4 linked regions of the Arabidopsis thaliana genome follow. The main gene of each other region encodes a partner of the protein of the gene in region 2 in a complex. Each region holds a gene or a part of one and is shown on either strand. Other genes may lie near its edges. The genes, in order: GCT, MED21, AT5G05140 and AT2G22370.

Region 1 (4,597 bases), on a different chromosome or scaffold from region 2:
GTTTTTGCAGCCGGATGATCAACCATGTACTGGAGAAGTCGGTTTGTTCCCCCAGCACCTTGGGGCCACGGATAGACTTCTGAATGCAAATCACGACGAGGTTTACTTCAAGGGAATGCCCATGTATAAGGAAACAGTGAGTAGTTTTAGAACTTCTATATTTACATCTAAACAAAATTGCAAACTTACGTCAGTTAAACGATTCCTCTGTTCTGTTGCGTTCTGCAGCGACTTAGAAGACACGGTGACATTGTGAAGCGAACTGTTGGAGGATATTACAATGTTCAAGGTAGAGCTGATGATACCATGAACCTTGGAGGCATTAAGGTACTACATACATTGTATGTCTATATACCCAACTTCGATTAGAGTTGGAACTTTTCTCAAGTTTTCATCTTTTGTTTATCTGTTATAACGCAGACGAGTTCTATTGAGATCGAACGTGTGTGTGATCAAGCTGATGAGTGCATCTCTGAGACAGCTGCAGTCACCTTAACACCACCTAACGGTGGTCCAGAGTTGCTGGTCATATTCGCAGTCTTGAAAGAAGGGTTCAAGCAACAGAGTGGAGAAGAGCTAAAGATGAAATTTTCAAGAACCATTCAAAAAGATCTTAATCCTCTCTTCAAGGTAATCAATATCTTTGATGAGTTTTTCTATAAATTCAAAGTTATTATAAGATTTTTTGTGTGCTTAAAAATGGATTTTGCAAAAATATTGCAGGTGAGTTTTGTGAAGATTGTGCCGGAGTTTCCAAGAACAGCTTCTAGCAAGCTACTGAGAAGAGTCTTGAGAGATCAGATTAAGCAAGAACTACTATCCTTACGAAGTCGAATATAAAGCCTTGATCTTAAGTTTAACTAGAATAAAATAAGATCTGCTGAGTAGTAGTTGATCTACACATGATTGGGTACTGCTCGGTCCAAATAAGAAAACCGATTAAATCAAATCTACCGGTCCTTGAATTCTCTAGCCTGATTCACATTTACATGACTAAACACTTTGACTTTGTTATGTTTGTGTTTGTGTTTGGTGTATATATTTCATATCAGATTATAATCTTAATTTTCCTCAAGATTATCTTTTGTTTAAATTTGTAAAAATATTTCGGACGATACTCATACATCCCATAAGGCTTTGAGACATCTGAATAGTATCACCACGAATGACCTATGGAACCAGAAGACAACTAGCCGCACCCAACGATACAAAGATAGCGTTAAGATCATTCGAGGTCTAGCTATATCGTGGTATACAAAATCTAGAAAATATAAAGTAAAACCATAGCATTGTTTGGTTCATTTGATTGATGCAAGTCAAACAAACTCGAAAGAATGAGATCTTAATACCAAAACTTCAAAAACACTTGATATTAAACACCTTATTTGGAGGAAACTCTTTTATGATGCTTGTGGTTGGCGGTTTTTTTTTTTGAACCAGAGTGTTGTGAAAATAATGAATTGGGCCTGACTAAAACAAATTGGGCCACAGAAAAAAAAAGAATTAGTAAGAGCAACAAAAAAAAAAGAACCCTAAAGAGCGCGTTTGGATCTGGTTTTATGAAAACCACGAGAGATTTCGTGTTGAGATGATTATGATGTATTGAAGAGTTTTGATCAAAAGAGAGATATAAACCTCGCAACATCAAGAGAAGATCGAGCTAGAAATTGACAACGTCTTCCAATTCCGAGCGCTTCAAGACGATGATTTTGGGGTTATAGCCTATAATTTGAAGAAAAAAAAGGATTGAACTTGTTGTATCTATCCCCAAGTGATGTGGACTAATGTTTTCAGAATTGTAAGTCTTATTCTATCATCTTTTTCCCATTGTGTGTGAAAATTGACTTATTGGTAATACATGATGATTTTTCTTCTACAGGGTGGTCTACATAATGTTTCTTGGTTTCAGTTTCTTCCAAGTGAAACTGAGCTGAATCCTGGCTTTGATAGAAGGTTAAAGCTTTAAGCTTTTTCAATGGGTTGTTTTAGTTTTTCCTTATTGACATTGTACTAATTAGTCTGGTCACTCTGGAGTTTTTTTTTCAGTTCAAGAGCTGAGCAGAATGAAGTTGCAACATATCTTGTACTTTCCTCTCATCTACGGTTGCAGAAGGAAGGGTTTCTTACCACTTGGACCAATTCTTTTGTTGGACCTTGGGATCCATCTCAAGGTTTATACAACCCTGGTAATGCTAAATCTCAATCTGGTACTTTTAAATTTTGTAACTTTATTTACAGTTGTATCTAACCATCATTCCTCGCTGCTGCTCAGATGAAAAGATTAAGCTTTGGCTTTTTCTACCTGGGCGTCATTCATCAATATCTGATAAAGCTCAGGCTGCTGTGTCAAAGCTTAGAGGTATATTCTCCTTATGATTTATTTTCTTCATCGTATTTTGTCGCCTCAATAGATTCAAACATATTGTCTCTATTCTGATTATGACTGTTTAGTGAACATGCCTGTGGTCTATGGTTATCTTGGTATACTTGTCCTTACTTTTCTTTTTCTCCTGTTGAAAGTTGTTGCGTCAGGAATTTGGGTAGCACCTGGGGACTCTGAAGAGATATCAGTTGCCTTTTCACAGTCTTTACGTAATTGCATCGAAAGGTTAGTTTTTTATTATCTGCAGACATAATGGTTGGATTAAGGAAATAATGGATTAGAGTATCATATTAACTTGTTTGATATCGCCACAGAGCATTATCTGGAATTTCCTACATGAGATTTGGAGATGTGTTTTCAAAATTCAGCCCTCAAAGCGAAGAATATTTGAGGTATCTGCAACCTCTTACCAATATAAGCGAGACCATGCGTTATAATCTCTGATGGTTTATTAGCAAATATATCGTCTTTTTTCTCTATGGCTTTTCGATTATGTATTATCCTATAGCTTTCATTAAATAGGGTCTGTGAGACCTAGGTTTCCTGAGTGTAATTCTTAGAATCCAAAGAATTCTATGATTAGGTCTGTGGCTCGCTAATGCTCTGTGGCTCGCTAATGCTCTGTGGATATTTATGTAGGAGGGGACAGCCTACTGTTGAATTCATCTTTGCTGCTACCGAAGAGGCAGTTTTTGTCCATGTCATTATATCTGCCAAGTCCGTAAAGCTTTTTGTTATACTGTTTCAGTTATGGTTTAGTGCTTCACATAGTTATTGAAACTAACTATAATATTTTATGCACGAAGGAATGTCCGCACACTTTCAAGTGGCGATGCTGAAAGAATGTTAAGGAGTTCTTTGAAAAACTCCAGTTATAGGCTTCCAGGTTAGTTATTTTTCCATCATCATTTGGATTGATAAATTATCCTACTTGTCTACGATTTTGATGGAACTAGTTCTAGATGTTTGTTGACCTCTTCTTGCTTTGTACTGTTAGAATACTGTATAGATTGAGAGCATTTTGAACTCAATTTTCAATGCATCCACTCCAAAAAGAAACCTAGTGTAGTCTAGTGCTACTGCTACCTAGCTTCATCAAGCAAAGATTTAACACCTCATTTTTTTGCATGTCACAAGAGCTTTTCGTAAATGTTTGGGATTGGCCAAGAGTGAGGATAATAGATTATGCTACATGTAATTCTATGAAGCCAAACTTTTTGAATTGATACCTGAAATGAAATCCGCCTTCTACACATGCTTAAAGAAAGATAAGAGCTTTTTATTTGATAGAAACACTTCTCACAGGCCTATGTTATTCCCACCAGTTATTGTTTCTCCTCATGGAATGCGGGGCAGCCTTACTGGATTCTGTCCCAATGACCTTGTCAAGCAAGTCTACTTCAGGTACATTTCATACCTTTGCTTTCGAATGCCAAGTCAACATTTTTTGTGAGTGCGTAGCCGTTAATCTGATTAATCCAATTTTCTCAACTAATACTTTTTTCTCACACAGTTCTGGAAACTTAAAAACTTCGACTGGATATGTTGGTCTCCCTTCTCATATTGGTCGTGGGTCCCGTCTGATAAATGGCAATCATTGCTACGTGGAAGTTACACTTGGTTGCTGCCAAAATAGAAATGACAACACAAGTCAAGCTAATTCGACCTTTGCAGTTAACTTGCCCCATAACCAGTGTCCTGAACCTTCAGTTGGGAGTAAAGATCACCGTAAAGGACAATCAGATCTTTCATCAGTTTGTGAAAAAAAGTTCATCTATCCAGCTGAGGCAGTGCTTGTACCAATCTTACAGTCGGCATTTGCGAAATTTTCTTTGAAAAGGTAAATTGACTAGGTGAGGTGGTTATTTAGAATTCATTGAGTACTTAACGGTAAGATCCAGATTGGCTATACATAAAATTTATTTCGTTTCTGTTGAATTCCATGTATGTATTAAAACAAATTGACTCTGTGTGATCGTAGTGGAAGTTTTAGTAATTGTTTCAGACCCATGTTAAATAGATGTAATAGTTGTGATCTTTCCTCAGCTTGGAGCTGATGCAAGGTGAAATCATACTTGCAGATTTTGGCTTCAAAACTGGATAGGCCCGTCACTAGCAGGCTCATCTTTGTTTATGCACTGGTGAGTCTTTTTCATCTATCTCGTCGACATTTGAAGATCAAAAGAAATCCACAAAACAGAGGTCTTGAAATGC
Region 2 (3,806 bases):
ATACAAGTTGAAATACATAAGCCAACAGACCAACGGAATATTTTGAGAAACTTAGCTGAAAAAAAGGAAGTAAAACCAAAAACATATATAAGGAAACATTTTAAACCAACGAAATTGAATCAAGAGACAAAATTCAAAAGAAAATAAAAAACTATGGGAAAAATAAGACCTAAACTTCTCCTAAAAAATGTGAACGCCGGAAACACCAATAAGATCGGATAGATTTTACACCGAAGTCAAAACTAATAGTAAATCGACAGAGAGGAAAGCAAGAAGCCGCTGAAACCAGAGACATAAGTACAAACACCATCACACCTCACCCACCAGACCGAGATAGCAAAATGTACTAGGGACAAGGCATAAACCTTGAAGATCTACTAGAGATAATTAAAGCACTAGACACAATCAGTATCGATTCTACTTGGGTTAGCTGATTTTCGAGCCATAAACTATTTCGATTCTCAGCTTTCACCCCCGGACTTTTGGGCCCTTAAATTTCCACCATCAACTTTCATATTCCCAAAATTACATCATCTACTTTCGGATTCATGCTTAAACATACATTTCCAATTGAACCATTCATTTAACCGGGATTAACCACAAATCCGCGTTTACTGTACCGCGATTGCGATTAACCCGACTAATACCCAGACCCGTTAAGAAAACGACGTCGTTTTCATTTCGTTTAACTCATCAAAAAGAGAAAGAAAACGACGTCGTTTTCATTCTTCTTCTTCTGCAAAATCGATTTGGTCGATTAGGGTTCTTCATTCGACAATTTTATAAGAAAATGAGCACCAACAGCTACTACTCATCCGCTTCCAGTTCAGGATTTCGTGTCTGTCCTCCTGGTGTCCCCTCGAAATGTTGGTGTGGAGAAGAGATCATTACATTCACATCGAAAACAAAGGAGAATCCATACCGGAGATTCTACCGTTGTGCGATAGCAATGAAGGTACACATTTCGATTTTGTGATATATTTGATTGATTGAAGGAGTAAATGATTGGAAATTATGTTTTATAGAGAGAAAATGAAGAGCACTTGTTCAAATGGGTTGATGAAGCTCTCTTGGACGAAATTAAGATGGTAAATGAGAAGTGTAAGAGAGTTGTAGAGAATATTAGTGACCTCAGAATGAACGTGATGGCTAATATGGAGCTCCTTAATAAAAACGCTAAGCAGATGGAGGAAGAGCTGATTAAGAAGATGGAGGGTGAACTCTTGACCATGAAGGAGAATGTGGAAGAGCTAGGACATGTTATGGCAAAGTCAGCTTTGAAGACTGTAGGGGTTGCTGTTGTGATTGTTGCATCTATTGTATGGCTTTGGGGAAGAGTGTAGGTGTTGTTGAGGTTTTGGAGTGAAATTGTAGTATTGGATTAGTCTCTGTTATAAAATTGTCGAATGAAGAACCCTAATCGACCAAATCGATTTTGCAGAAGAAGAAGAATGAAAACGACGTCGTTTTCTTTCTCTTTTTGATGAGTTAAACGAAATGAAAACGACGTCGTTTTCTTAACGGGTCTGGGTATTAGTCAGGTTAATCGCAATCGCGGTACAGTAAACGCAGATTTGTGGTTAATCCCGGTTAAATGAATGGTTCAATTGGAAATGTATGTTTAAGCATGAATTCGAAAGTAGATGATGTAATTTTGAGGAATATGAAAGTTGATGGTGAAAATTTAAGGGCCCAAAAGTCCGGGGGTGAAAGCTGAGAATCGAAATAGTTTATGGCTCAAAAATCAGCCACCCAATTCTACTTCAGTGTTTTTTTTTTTAATTAGTTGTCAATTAATTAAAGCAGTAGGTTTAAAGAAACAACAGAAATCGTTCCTTACGAATTCTATGGAATTAGGGCCCAAAAATCCAAAGGAAAGGCCACCTTAAAAGCCCATTTTAAAAATCTTCGAGCCCAAACCCAAAACGCAGAACGAAGTTTATTAAGAACAACAAAACGCCCCAATTCGCAGCGATTATCTGTCGTTGCCACACCCAACAGACTCTGCGTCGCCGGAGAAATCTTGTCGACGGGTAAGTCTCTTCGTTAAAGCTTATGCTTCGTTAAATCGATTAGGTCAATTTTTTCCCTGAGGATTCGCCATTTTGATCCTCTCTGAAATCCAACTGGTTTTAAGTGATTTATGCTTTGGCACTAGTTTTGTTGAGAATCTTGTTTGATAAATTCAGGAATTGACCACCAATTTTGTGCCATTTGAATCTCCTAGATCCTCTCTGAACGTTATATCTTGCTTTTGAGTATATGTTAAAAGTCTAATATGTGATTGATTACTGTAAATTTTATACTTGTTCAAGGTCTTTTAAGGTTTTGGAAGATGGATATAATCTCACAGTTGCAAGAACAAGTGAATACGATTGCTGCTATCACTTTCAATGCTTTTGGGACACTGCAAAGGGATGCACCACCAGTCCAGCTTTCACCTAATTATCCTGAACCACCCGCTACAACTACGGTTACTGATGATGCTACGCCTTTTCCTGAGCAACCTAAGCAGCTCAGTGCTGGCTTAGTTAAGGCTGCTAAACAGTTTGATGCTTTGGTTGCTGCACTTCCTTTGTCAGAAGGTGGTGAAGGTGCTCAGCTCAAAAGAATCGCTGAACTCCAGGTCAAACAAGTCACACCGATATGTCGAGTTCTTGAATCCGATTACTTCTATTTGTCTAACCGCTTTGTCCTGTTTTTTCTTCAGGTGGAAAATGATCTTGTTGGTCAAGAACTCCAAAAGCAACTAGAGGCTGCAGGTAAAAAACGATCTTAGGTTTTCACTTCATTGTTGGTGTGTCTTATCTGTCTGTAACTGGAGCAGATTCATTATGCACTTCAAATTTCAATTTGTATACTTTCTTGTTGATACACGCACTATGGTTAGATGTTATCTTTAGTGGTTCTAGAATTTGGAATTTTTGTTTTCCCTTGCAACTGCCTCTGACGATTGAGCTGATGTTAATGGTGTGACCTTGTTTGTGACAGAGAAGGAGCTAAAGCAAGTACAAGAGCTGTTTGGACAAGCTGCTGACAATTGCCTGAACATGAAGAAACCTGAATGAAATGCTTGTTTACCTTTTGTCGAGCTGATTTAGAAACTATATGATTTGGTTCAGCAACAATTATCTTTTAGGTTCATAAGGAATATCTATTCTAAGTTGGTTCACCAAAAAATTGTTGTAGAAGCAATTACAAGAATGTTAGTTAGCTCACAACAACAGAACCATTATTTTAACCTTACACTTTTTTGACCTGTCTGATTACAATCTCAGAGAATCCACTTTATCATTTTCACAATTACAGGCCATGATTGACACATCATGTTTGATTCTCCGGGCAGTGTTGGTCAAATTACTATGATGGTCAAATTACTATGAACTCTGGTATCTGTCACATTCAATCCAAGTTGCTGAAAAGAAATGACCAGTCCATAAGTTGTGGTCCAAAACCGGATCTTGATTGTGTATTTGTACTCAAGCATGTGAAGATATCCTAACTCATCATCCTTCTTGCGCTCTCTCACAAGACTTGTATAGAGTCCAACAATCTTTTGTCTGCGTGATGAAGCTTTAGGATGAAAAGAAAACTTTAGCCAGTCCGATCAATATTATAAATTAACAATTGTATAAATTTACCAATATATATATTTATATAAATATTATATGTAAAATATTTAGTGAAATATGACTCTACTATTGTTTTTCTTTAATTTTTATTAATTTTTTGTAAAGTTCAATTCTAATACTTTTACTATGTGAAAAAAAAAAATTGTATTTTTTTTTTAAACTTAATAATTGTTT
Region 3 (5,526 bases), on a different chromosome or scaffold from region 2:
AAAATGAAGTGTAATCTAACAAAGTATGTAATGGATATAGGTCAATTTATTCATTGCATATTGATTATAAATGAGATTTTTTATATTCTTAAAATAGTATGAATTAGACATTTTGTAGTGATATTTCCAACAACAAAAAAAGATCTCATAATTTTGTTAAAAAAAAAAAAACTAAAGACATTTCGCTGCATCAATAGTAAGATTTAAGTTCTAGAGCTTTTGGAATTGCAGTTTTTTGTTTAGTTTAAAGTTTTGAGATTATGAGTTAATGTTTTAAATTTTGAAACTTACTAAATGTTAAATGTCATTTCAGTTTTTGTACACAGACAACAATATTTTTTGTATTTTCACATGCTCAACTTTTTTTTTCTCTCACATGCTAAAGTTTACAAAAATAACCAACACATCCATACGAATTTACCATCACGCCAAAAATCATTACGTTTGTTTTTGTCCAAAAGTGTTTGGGTGTACTTATTTAATCAAACTAAAAAGTGCATTTTCCTTTTCACGAAATAAAATCGTGACCATAAAACTAGATTTATCTCTATCCAACTGTTTTTCTTTCAATAGAAATGGAGTGAAAGATTAATAGAAGTTGTAGAAGTCCACGTGGTTCATGTGGTGAAATGCGTGAACGCGTAACGCCGAGATAATAACAACATTGAATAAAAAATACCAACACGCACAAAGACCACACTGCAACAACATTCCTATCCATCCACGTTATCTCCCACCCCCCACTACCTTCTCCTCTTTTCTTATCCACCCACCTTCCTTAAGCCTTTCCAATGCCATCTTATTTTATATACATAAGTAATAAGAAATGACAACATTCGGTCACAATCACATTCATTCATAACAATTGGATATCATTATATAAATATTTATTTATTTGGAAAAAAGTGTCATCATCTCTATATTGTGTCCCAAATCATTTCACATTACTATACAAAGTTAGGTGAAGAGCCGGTCAATTTCGAATGAGCTTTTCTACCCTCTCTTTTACTATTTTTATATGATATATATGTAAAAGGGACCTCTCTCCTTGTCCCAAAACCGAACATAACCCGACTAAACCGGGACTGTACCGAAAGTCTCAAGAATGTAGTAAAGAACACATAAAAGAAACAATAATTGGTATCCCTATCTTGCTGCAATTGGTGAATCCAAGACAGAACAAAACAGAGGAGTAAACAGTTTGTTCAAAGTAAAGTTATGTTGGATTCTGTTCCTTCTCCTCTGCTTGTTTCTGTCTCCAGCTTTGTGGAACTAGACTCTGTTTACCTTTATTGCACCAGAGATTGCGAGATATGTGTGGTAAGTATGGAGTAATATCTTTTGCCGAGAATTATTCACCATTTGAACAAAGCAGAAACTATTTTCTCCCATTAGCCCAATTCCTGTTGCTCATTCCAGGTCTCTTGAGTTGCGGTTTCTGAGCACTACCTTGCTTTGGGATCATCTCAAGTACTTGTATCGTTCGCTGCTTCTTGGCTGTGGCAAGATCACAAACATTTTTAAGTTCTTTTGTTTTCAAGAATGTAACAAAAAACTCGAAACAAAAGAAAGGAAATGAAACGAACCATTCTCGTGATGCTGGTAGCTTTCTTGAAGTTTCCTCTTTGCAAACTCAAACTTTGCGTCTGCATCAAGACCTTTAAGTTTCTGCAAGGGACAAGAGCAAAAACACCATCAATTCTACGTCCAAGAATAGGATATTAGACAAGAGCTTTGTCTCCACACTCACTTCTTGTTGAGGTCCAGGAGCTTTCCGCTTCTGTTCTGTAACAACCGGTTTCCTTTGGATCATGGGTTTTTCAGACTTGTGAACAGATACCGTTTCGTTCTTCATCCTTTGCTCTGTACTTTGCTTTACAGGTCTTCTAGTCCCATCAAAATCAGTAGCTGATGATGGCTTAATAGATCTAAAAGGAGCATCTTGTATCCTCATTTGTGTTCCCTCAGGTTTTCTCTTGGCGATATTTTGTGGCCTTCTTTCATGCTCTCGGCTTGTGTTGTGTTCTTCAGAGTTACGAGGATCTGAAACAAACATCCCCAAGAAAATCAATCAACACGTAGCTAAGAACATGTTCTCAAACAAACAAGACATAGTTTTAAAACTCACTTCCATCAAAGTCCAAGGAATCAAAGAAGTGTGAGATTTCAAATCCGTTTGGTTCAGGTGTAAAGATATCAACATCATATGGAAGCGATGGAAACGCCTCTTCTTCATCAAGGACAGACGGGTTTGCAGACTCTGGTGTACCTTCAGCACCTGTTTTAAACACAAAATTAGAACCAAAGACTATGGATCTAATTCAAGAAACCAAACGGTAAGACACGAAGCCAGTCATAAAAGATCGAAAAGCGAGACAGAGAAAGCGCAATTACCAGTGATTTCCTTTGTGGTATTCACCCATTGATCCACCAACTCCTTCCATTCTCTGCATAAACATATCAAAAACTCAAATGTGAGATTCAAAAGTGCAAAAGCATAGCAAATGTCAATCAAACTTGTGAAAGATCAAAAACTCATACGCGATAAGAGTCTTAGCGAGTTGTCGAATCTTATCAGAAGAATGTTTCCTGAGGCCATTAACAGCCTTTCCAATCTCAGTACTCTGCGAGAATAACCGCAAACCTTAAGAATCTCAAGGATCATCAACAACAACTTCATACACTATCCACCAAGATAACCAACCTTAAGAATATCCACATTCAAAGACATCAACTTAAGATGTCTTAAAGAATCGAGTAACACCGAGTTTGGCTGCAAGAGAATACAAAAAAGAACCAATCAGAAAACACAAAAAAAAAATCTTCACATTGATGAAATTTCAAGAACTTGAGAATCAAACCTCATCTTCTTTGTTGAGCAAGATCTCTTTGATCCTAGCAACCTCCTTAGAAACCACAGAAAACTCTTCAATCTCATCACTCAAAGCCTCAGCTTCATCAAATGTATAATTGCTAACAATCTGATTATTATCCCCTCTGCTACTATTAGCTTTGCTCTCTTTACTACCACCAGCAACCTCATAATCTTCATCAACCGCCGTACCACCACCACCATTTCCGGTGGTTCCACGGTTAGCCTCGTCGTCTCCGGGAACAGACAATTCAAGATGGTCGCATCCGACGCAACGATTCACTCTACAGGAGAATAAAAGCTCGGCGATTTTGTCTCTTCTGGATTTGAATTTGTTAGGACAATCAGTAGCAGCCACCATGATCGCATGATCGATGATCCCGAATATATCGGAATCTCCTCGCCGTCGGAAATATTCTCTCCAGCTATCTAATGAACCCGATGCTTTCATCGTTTCTCGATTCAACAAAATCGGAGTCTAATTAACTCAAGAATTTGATTTTTTCCCCAGAAAATTTGAAGAAGAAGCAAAATAGATTTCCAGAAGAAGAAGATTGGGATCGTTGAAGATTGAAGAATTCGAAAAGAGAAGATCAGAAAATATCGAATCTACGACAGAAGATTTACTTACCAAAAAAAGATCAATCAAACTTAAAGGTTGAGACTTTGAAGATTGTTTTGTTCTCAATCAAAATATGATCAAAAACGAAAAGGATTTGTGATCAAAAGAATCTATAGAGAGAGAGATAAACACAAAATCTGTTTGGTAAGTTTTTATTAATTTATTTTTTTTGGTACCTTTCCGAATCTGACAAGAAAACTTTCCCGGAAAGCCCAGAAAGGATTTTCCCGAGAAAAAAATGCACCGCAGCAAAGATGAGAAAGAAGGAGGAAACCCAAAAAAGCAAAAGAGAGAATACAGACAGAACATGAAACAGTTTTGGTTACGTTGTCTATCTAAAACCCAAGTGCTACTACGTTAAACACAGCTACAAATTCAATTCAACAAGAAACCTTTTTATTAATTCAGAAAGAGAAATAATGAAATTTATTTATTTCCTCTGATTGAAGTCTCTCTGTATATCTGTTTGGTAAAAGAGATTTTATTTTTATTTTAAGTTGGATTTTCTTTACGGCTTTCTTTTGACCTGATCGGTCTGTTTTGGCTTTTCATTATTATTATAAAAACACATTATTCTTTTTTTCCTCACACATGCGTTGTACTTGAACGACGACACAAGTTAAGTGATTACAAGGTCAAACTCTTTTTTTTTTTTTTGGGTCATAAATCTTTTTTACGTTGGAAAATGTCAAAAGTAAATTCTACTAAGAGTGTTTAGTTAGTTATACGGACTTTAATGAGAAGCTCTGAAGAAGAGATATTTATTTCCTAATGCTGCTGATCAAAAGCGTTTATCTTCTAGTCAAAGAGTGATATATTAGAATATTTGGTAAATCCGATTCAAAACAATAGTTTCATGTTTTAACAGTTAACACTATCATTTCATTTTATTTTGTTTTATAAGAAATTGGATTAGGTACTTTAATTTGTTCAGATTTGTAAGACAGAGAAACAAGTATTTCTTTGTTTACAATGTTTTAAAAATATCTAACAAAAAAGTTGTTTTATTTTTTTTGTATCCCTTTGTACTTTGGATTAGGTACAAAATGACTCACAATGTTTTAACCTCGTTACCCTCACAGCTTTTTCATTAATTCATCGACTATTTTTTCATAACCCATACTTGTTAAGGCCATTAGGGCATCTCCATCCATGAAAAACCCACAAAGTTTTTCAAACAAAAAAAATATTAATATTATATTATAATTTGATTATTTGATTAAAAAAATATTTTTGTTAAAAAATTAAACCAATAGTAAGATGATAATTGTCATGATGGGTTGTAGAGACTATCTCAGAGTTTCTCAAGTGAGAAACTTTCTACACTCTCTCTCCTTCATTTTCATTATTTTTATTTTTTTAATTGTGAGAAACTCTTATGAGATACTCCCAATAGAGATGGTCTTAGATATGTAGTTTATTTACAATTTATCAATTGTAAATAAAAGTTACAACTCTTCACTTATACTCATAATGTTCCGGTACAATCCAACCAAACCTTAACTTAGATCATATTTATTTTAGAGAATTTACCAAAAAAAGACATAGCATGATAGCATCATGTCATCAATCATCATACATTGTCTTATTTTTGTTGTTGTTGAAAAAAAAAAAAATCAACTGTTTTTCTTTGTATTTGCATTTTCGTTTATGTTTACATGTTCCAAAATGATACCACAATCATAACTGTTTTAATTCAAAGTAAGAACTTTGTTTTGTGTTTACAAAGTTATAAAATAAGTTGGACTATTAAACTTAGCTTGATTTGTTAGAGCAACAACAGAAAATAGAAGAAGAAAAGGAAGTTTCTGTTTGTGGAATGAGAAGCATGTATTAAATGTTGGTCAACAAAATCGACCCCTAAAAATATTATAATTTGATTTTATGTTAATACGTGACAAAACGAAGTCGTACGATTTGGGACGGTGGTGATTACCAATCAGAATTTACTCACCTTCAAACGCGTGAAAAACACTGGGACTCCTTTGAGTGCTAACCTCACGGGCTTGTCACAGCCACGTTTACGTGACAG
Region 4 (3,660 bases), on a different chromosome or scaffold from region 2:
GTACACACGAAGATCAAAATCGAAATTGAACAGCAACACTGTAACATCATCGAGTTCGAAGCAATATTTTATCCATTGTTAAATCAGAGAAGATAGAACTAAGATCGGAGAAGGATATAGTACCGTTTCTGGCCTGCGATGTCCCAGATCTGAGCTTTGATGTTCTTATCGTCAATAACGAGCGTTCGAGTATTGAAATCGACACCGAATTGTGGCTTTGGAATCCATACTGAATTCGTCTCTTGTGAACCGAGCTCGTAGCTGTGACTTCCCAACCGCTGAATCTCCGTTCAAAACAACCTTGAATACGTAGTCAACCTCTTCTTCAGCCATCTTCTTCTTCGCTCGCAGTCGGCGATCGAACGACGTCGATTTTCTCGCTGTTTTTACACTCTCCGGTGGACTGAGAGATTAAACTAATCGTAGGGTTAAAATGTAATCCTCTACGGTAGAGAGTACTAGAGTGTATGGTAGTCAAAGTCGTCATACGTGGATTTGATTAATGATTGCTACACGTGTATCGCATTGATAGGTTCTCTTGCTCGGATCACTAATACATAAACTTGGATACAACCCAAAGCTTGACCTATTTTTGTTGAACACCTTTTTGTTTTTATATTTTTCATCCTCTGAAACAAGTCCATAGACTCTTGTATTAATATATCCTGATGATATTTGGTTTTACATTTGCATCTTGTATCATTGTAAACAATTCATAAGCCTTCCCACAAAAGCATGCTTGGCATTTGACAATTGGCAATTCATAAATGATGCATTATAAGCATAAATATCAACTTGGATATTCAACTTGGCCCGTGTATTATGCTACCTCTACAAATTTGGTGAGGTAGGTTAAAATGAGGCCGGTTTGAGTTACCGGTATATTAGACGAGCATTAACATGATTACACACTTGAGGATATTATTGACGAATGAAGAAACTAAAATGGTTTAGTTAATGCAAAATTGAGGATTCATTCGTCTATTGAAATAGAGAAGAATTGTTTGAGGCTAAAATAAATATATTTACATTTTTCCTATTCTCCTCCAAACTTTTCGTAAACATGGTTATTTGACTTATTTTTGAACTTTTTATCTAATAATTTAAAGGATTGTGGTGATGTAGTGGCCACTTAATCTACACAACATCGCAATAATTTTGACAAAATTTTCTACATATTTCTTGTCAACAATTATAAGGAATTAACACATTCTACTTAGTAGACATTTACAGTAATCACAACCAAGATGAAATAACCATATATAAATATCATTTGCTATGTTCATAAACTTTATCGAAACTAGTTGACTTCTTAAAATGCCAACTAATTAGGTTAGGGTTCATGAACTTTTTAGCAAAGATAGCACAAACTAAATTCTATCTTCAACCTAACTAATGACGGTTTACTCCGGTTAACCGGTGGTTATGTTCTCATCATGCGGCCAACTAAGCTAATGGGCTATTTGGTGATCACTAATCAATGACCGAGATGCACTAGAGTTTTTATTATGATCGAGTTCCCAAAAAAGGGGCAACAAGAAAAAACGAAATGGCCTATACAGGGATCGAACCTGTGACCTTCGCGTTATTAGCACGACGCTCTAACCAACTGAGCTAATAGGCCATCTTGCTTTATCTACAGCTAACTACTATATAACAACTACACAAGTGATTCTAGTAACTAGCTAAAATTCTCCGGTGTTAAAAAATCTCAGATTCGCTCCCGAGGACGATTTAGGAAGCTTTCGTTAGTTTTTCCAATTTCGGATTTGGTCTTGTTGAGAATATATTTACGATTTTAATTGAGAGATTTTGTGATAGCTCAATGTCAATGGAGTGTGTGGTTCAAGGAATCATCGAGACACAGGTTCGTTTGTATTTTTTGATTGACGAACAAATCCCAAGTTTTTCGAGTTCATGGATCAGCTTTTAGCTTTCTTATGATGTCCAATTGATAAACCCTAGGCTTGAATTTTTATTAGAATTTGATTAGATTTTCTACTGGATTTTGCAGCATGTTGAAGCTCTTGAGATTCTTCTTCAAGGTCTTTGTGGTGTTCAACGCGAACGTTTAAGAGTTCATGAGTTATGCTTAAGAAGCGGCCCAAATCTTGGTAAAGCCAATTCCTTTTGTTAAATTCAGAAACTTGAAGCTTCCTATGAATCATACATGATTCACATTTGTGAAATCTTCACTTTTTCAGGAGTTGTGTCATCAGAAGTTAGGCTATTATGTGATCTTGATCAACCCGAACCCACATGGTACAGCTTCTTCTTGTTGTTGTTGTTGTTGTATATGTTCTTGTTTCATTCAAAGGAAGCTAATTTAAGAACCATAGGACGGTTAAACATGTTGGTGGTGCGATGAGAGGTGCAGGAGCTGATCAAATCTCTGTTTTGGTTAGAAATATGATTGAAAGTAAAGTAAGCAAGAATGCTTTGCGTATGTTCTATGCACTCGGTTACAAACTAGACCATGAGCTTCTCAAAGTCGGATTCGCCTTTCATTTCCAACGGACTGCGCACATAAGTGTTTCTGTATCTTCTGTTAATAAGATGCCTAAAGTTCATGCTATAGATGAGGCTGTTCCTGTAACACCTGGTATGCAGATTGTTGATGTAACTGCTCCTGCAACTTCTGAGAATTACAGTGAAGTCGCTGCTGCTGTTTCATCTTTCTGTGAATTTCTTGCTCCGTAAGTTCATCTGATATATTTTACAGCACCTGTGATAGTGTCTTTGATATAAGCTTCATCAGTGATATGATTCCTTGTGTTTTCAGGCTTGTTCACTTGTCGAAACCGTCTATCTCCACGGGGGTTGTGCCAACCGCTGCTGCGGCGGCTGCATCTCTTATGTCGGATGGAGGAGGTACTACATTGTAAGAAGTTTGAAGTTAAAAACAACTGTTCTTGTGTTCTCTCTTGTTAGATCTTTTGGTCCAATCTAGTCAATTTTCCAGATTACACAATGGTTGTGAAATCTTGTGAACCATTAGAGTTAAGTATTATTTAATGAGAATCAGTAAGGGATCTTTAATAAATATTCTTTATAAATCACAACTTGCATATGATCTTTGCTCTTCTCTCAACCTTTTGGTATTATGATGTTTCATTGTTGTCACTTGTCAGTAGATTGATAGTTTATGAAGCTTCGAACATGATTAAAATAATGTGAATGTCTTTGTGGAATTACATACTATTTTATTTATCATTCAATCACTAATAAATTCCAATTTGAAAGCCTATTAAAACCTAACATATTAAAAATTTGAACCACAAAAAAATGAATTCTAAAATTCTTCCATTTCCACAACAATAATCATCTTCCTCCACTTGCTTCTTCTTTTTTCAAGAGCCATTCTAAATATCACAAGCCAGAGTAGAAAAATGTATATGTATAGAGAGATTCATAATTTCAATGTCAAAATTTTCGTGTTTCTAATCATCTACTGGTGCTATTAGCAGTCTTGTTCTTGCTCATATCAGCAAGCTCTTCAATAAGTTTTTTCTCCTCTTTGCTCAATCTCTTAGGTATCTCCACTTGTACTCTCACCAACTGATCTCCTCTCATATTACTCTTGTTCAATACCGGAACTCCTTTTTTCGCCATCACAAGCGTCGTGCTAGGTTGTGTCCCAGCTGGAACTTTCAAATCTAC

Evidence for each region.
Region 1: MED21 (region 2) and GCT share a complex: the UniProt entries of both Arabidopsis thaliana proteins name them as parts of the mediator complex.
Region 3: MED21 (region 2) and AT5G05140 share a complex: the UniProt entries of both Arabidopsis thaliana proteins name them as parts of the mediator complex.
Region 4: MED21 (region 2) and AT2G22370 share a complex: the UniProt entries of both Arabidopsis thaliana proteins name them as parts of the mediator complex.

The regions. Positions count from the first base shown.
Region 1 is NC_003070.9:20,635,820-20,640,416, forward strand, and holds the start of GCT (RNA polymerase II transcription mediator), read left to right. Parts: upstream 1-1,560; 5' UTR 1,561-1,774; coding exon 1,775-1,798; intron 1,799-1,879; coding exon 1,880-1,953; intron 1,954-2,046; coding exon 2,047-2,186; intron 2,187-2,272; coding exon 2,273-2,359; intron 2,360-2,520; coding exon 2,521-2,608; intron 2,609-2,697; coding exon 2,698-2,775; intron 2,776-3,022; coding exon 3,023-3,100; intron 3,101-3,189; coding exon 3,190-3,269; intron 3,270-3,522; coding exon of another isoform or gene 3,523-3,577; intron 3,578-3,673; coding exon of another isoform or gene 3,674-3,708; coding exon 3,709-3,787; intron 3,788-3,896; coding exon 3,897-4,223; intron 4,224-4,464; coding exon 4,465-4,524; intron 4,525-4,597. Other genes in the region: AAE18 (acyl-activating enzyme 18), read left to right, coding at 11-136, 229-327, 421-630, 724-840. UniProt on the Arabidopsis thaliana protein: Component of the Mediator complex, a coactivator involved in the regulated transcription of nearly all RNA polymerase II-dependent genes.
Region 2 is NC_003075.7:2,430,330-2,434,135, forward strand, and holds MED21 (mediator 21), read left to right. Parts: upstream 1-1,922; 5' UTR 1,923-2,033; intron 2,034-2,315; 5' UTR 2,316-2,335; coding exon 2,336-2,626; intron 2,627-2,710; coding exon 2,711-2,762; intron 2,763-2,991; coding exon 2,992-3,068; 3' UTR 3,069-3,306; downstream 3,307-3,806. Other genes in the region: AT4G04775 (zinc ion binding protein), read left to right, coding at 791-955, 1,026-1,343. UniProt on the Arabidopsis thaliana protein: Component of the Mediator complex, a coactivator involved in the regulated transcription of nearly all RNA polymerase II-dependent genes.
Region 3 is NC_003076.8:1,518,150-1,523,675, reverse strand, and holds AT5G05140 (Transcription elongation factor (TFIIS) family protein), read right to left. Parts: upstream 3,972-5,526; 5' UTR 3,324-3,971; coding exon 2,862-3,323; intron 2,774-2,861; coding exon 2,705-2,773; intron 2,625-2,704; coding exon 2,542-2,624; intron 2,448-2,541; coding exon 2,395-2,447; intron 2,279-2,394; coding exon 2,129-2,278; intron 2,044-2,128; coding exon 1,751-2,043; intron 1,669-1,750; coding exon 1,587-1,668; intron 1,498-1,586; coding exon 1,379-1,497; 3' UTR 539-1,378; downstream 1-538. UniProt on the Arabidopsis thaliana protein: Component of the Mediator complex, a coactivator involved in the regulated transcription of nearly all RNA polymerase II-dependent genes.
Region 4 is NC_003071.7:9,500,244-9,503,903, reverse strand, and holds AT2G22370 (mediator of RNA polymerase II transcription subunit), read left to right. Parts: upstream 1-1,693; 5' UTR 1,694-1,825; coding exon 1,826-1,867; intron 1,868-2,014; coding exon 2,015-2,114; intron 2,115-2,204; coding exon 2,205-2,262; intron 2,263-2,339; coding exon 2,340-2,696; intron 2,697-2,782; coding exon 2,783-2,885; 3' UTR 2,886-3,120; downstream 3,121-3,660. Other genes in the region: AT2G22360 (DNAJ heat shock family protein), read right to left, coding at 3,445-3,660. UniProt on the Arabidopsis thaliana protein: Component of the Mediator complex, a coactivator involved in the regulated transcription of nearly all RNA polymerase II-dependent genes.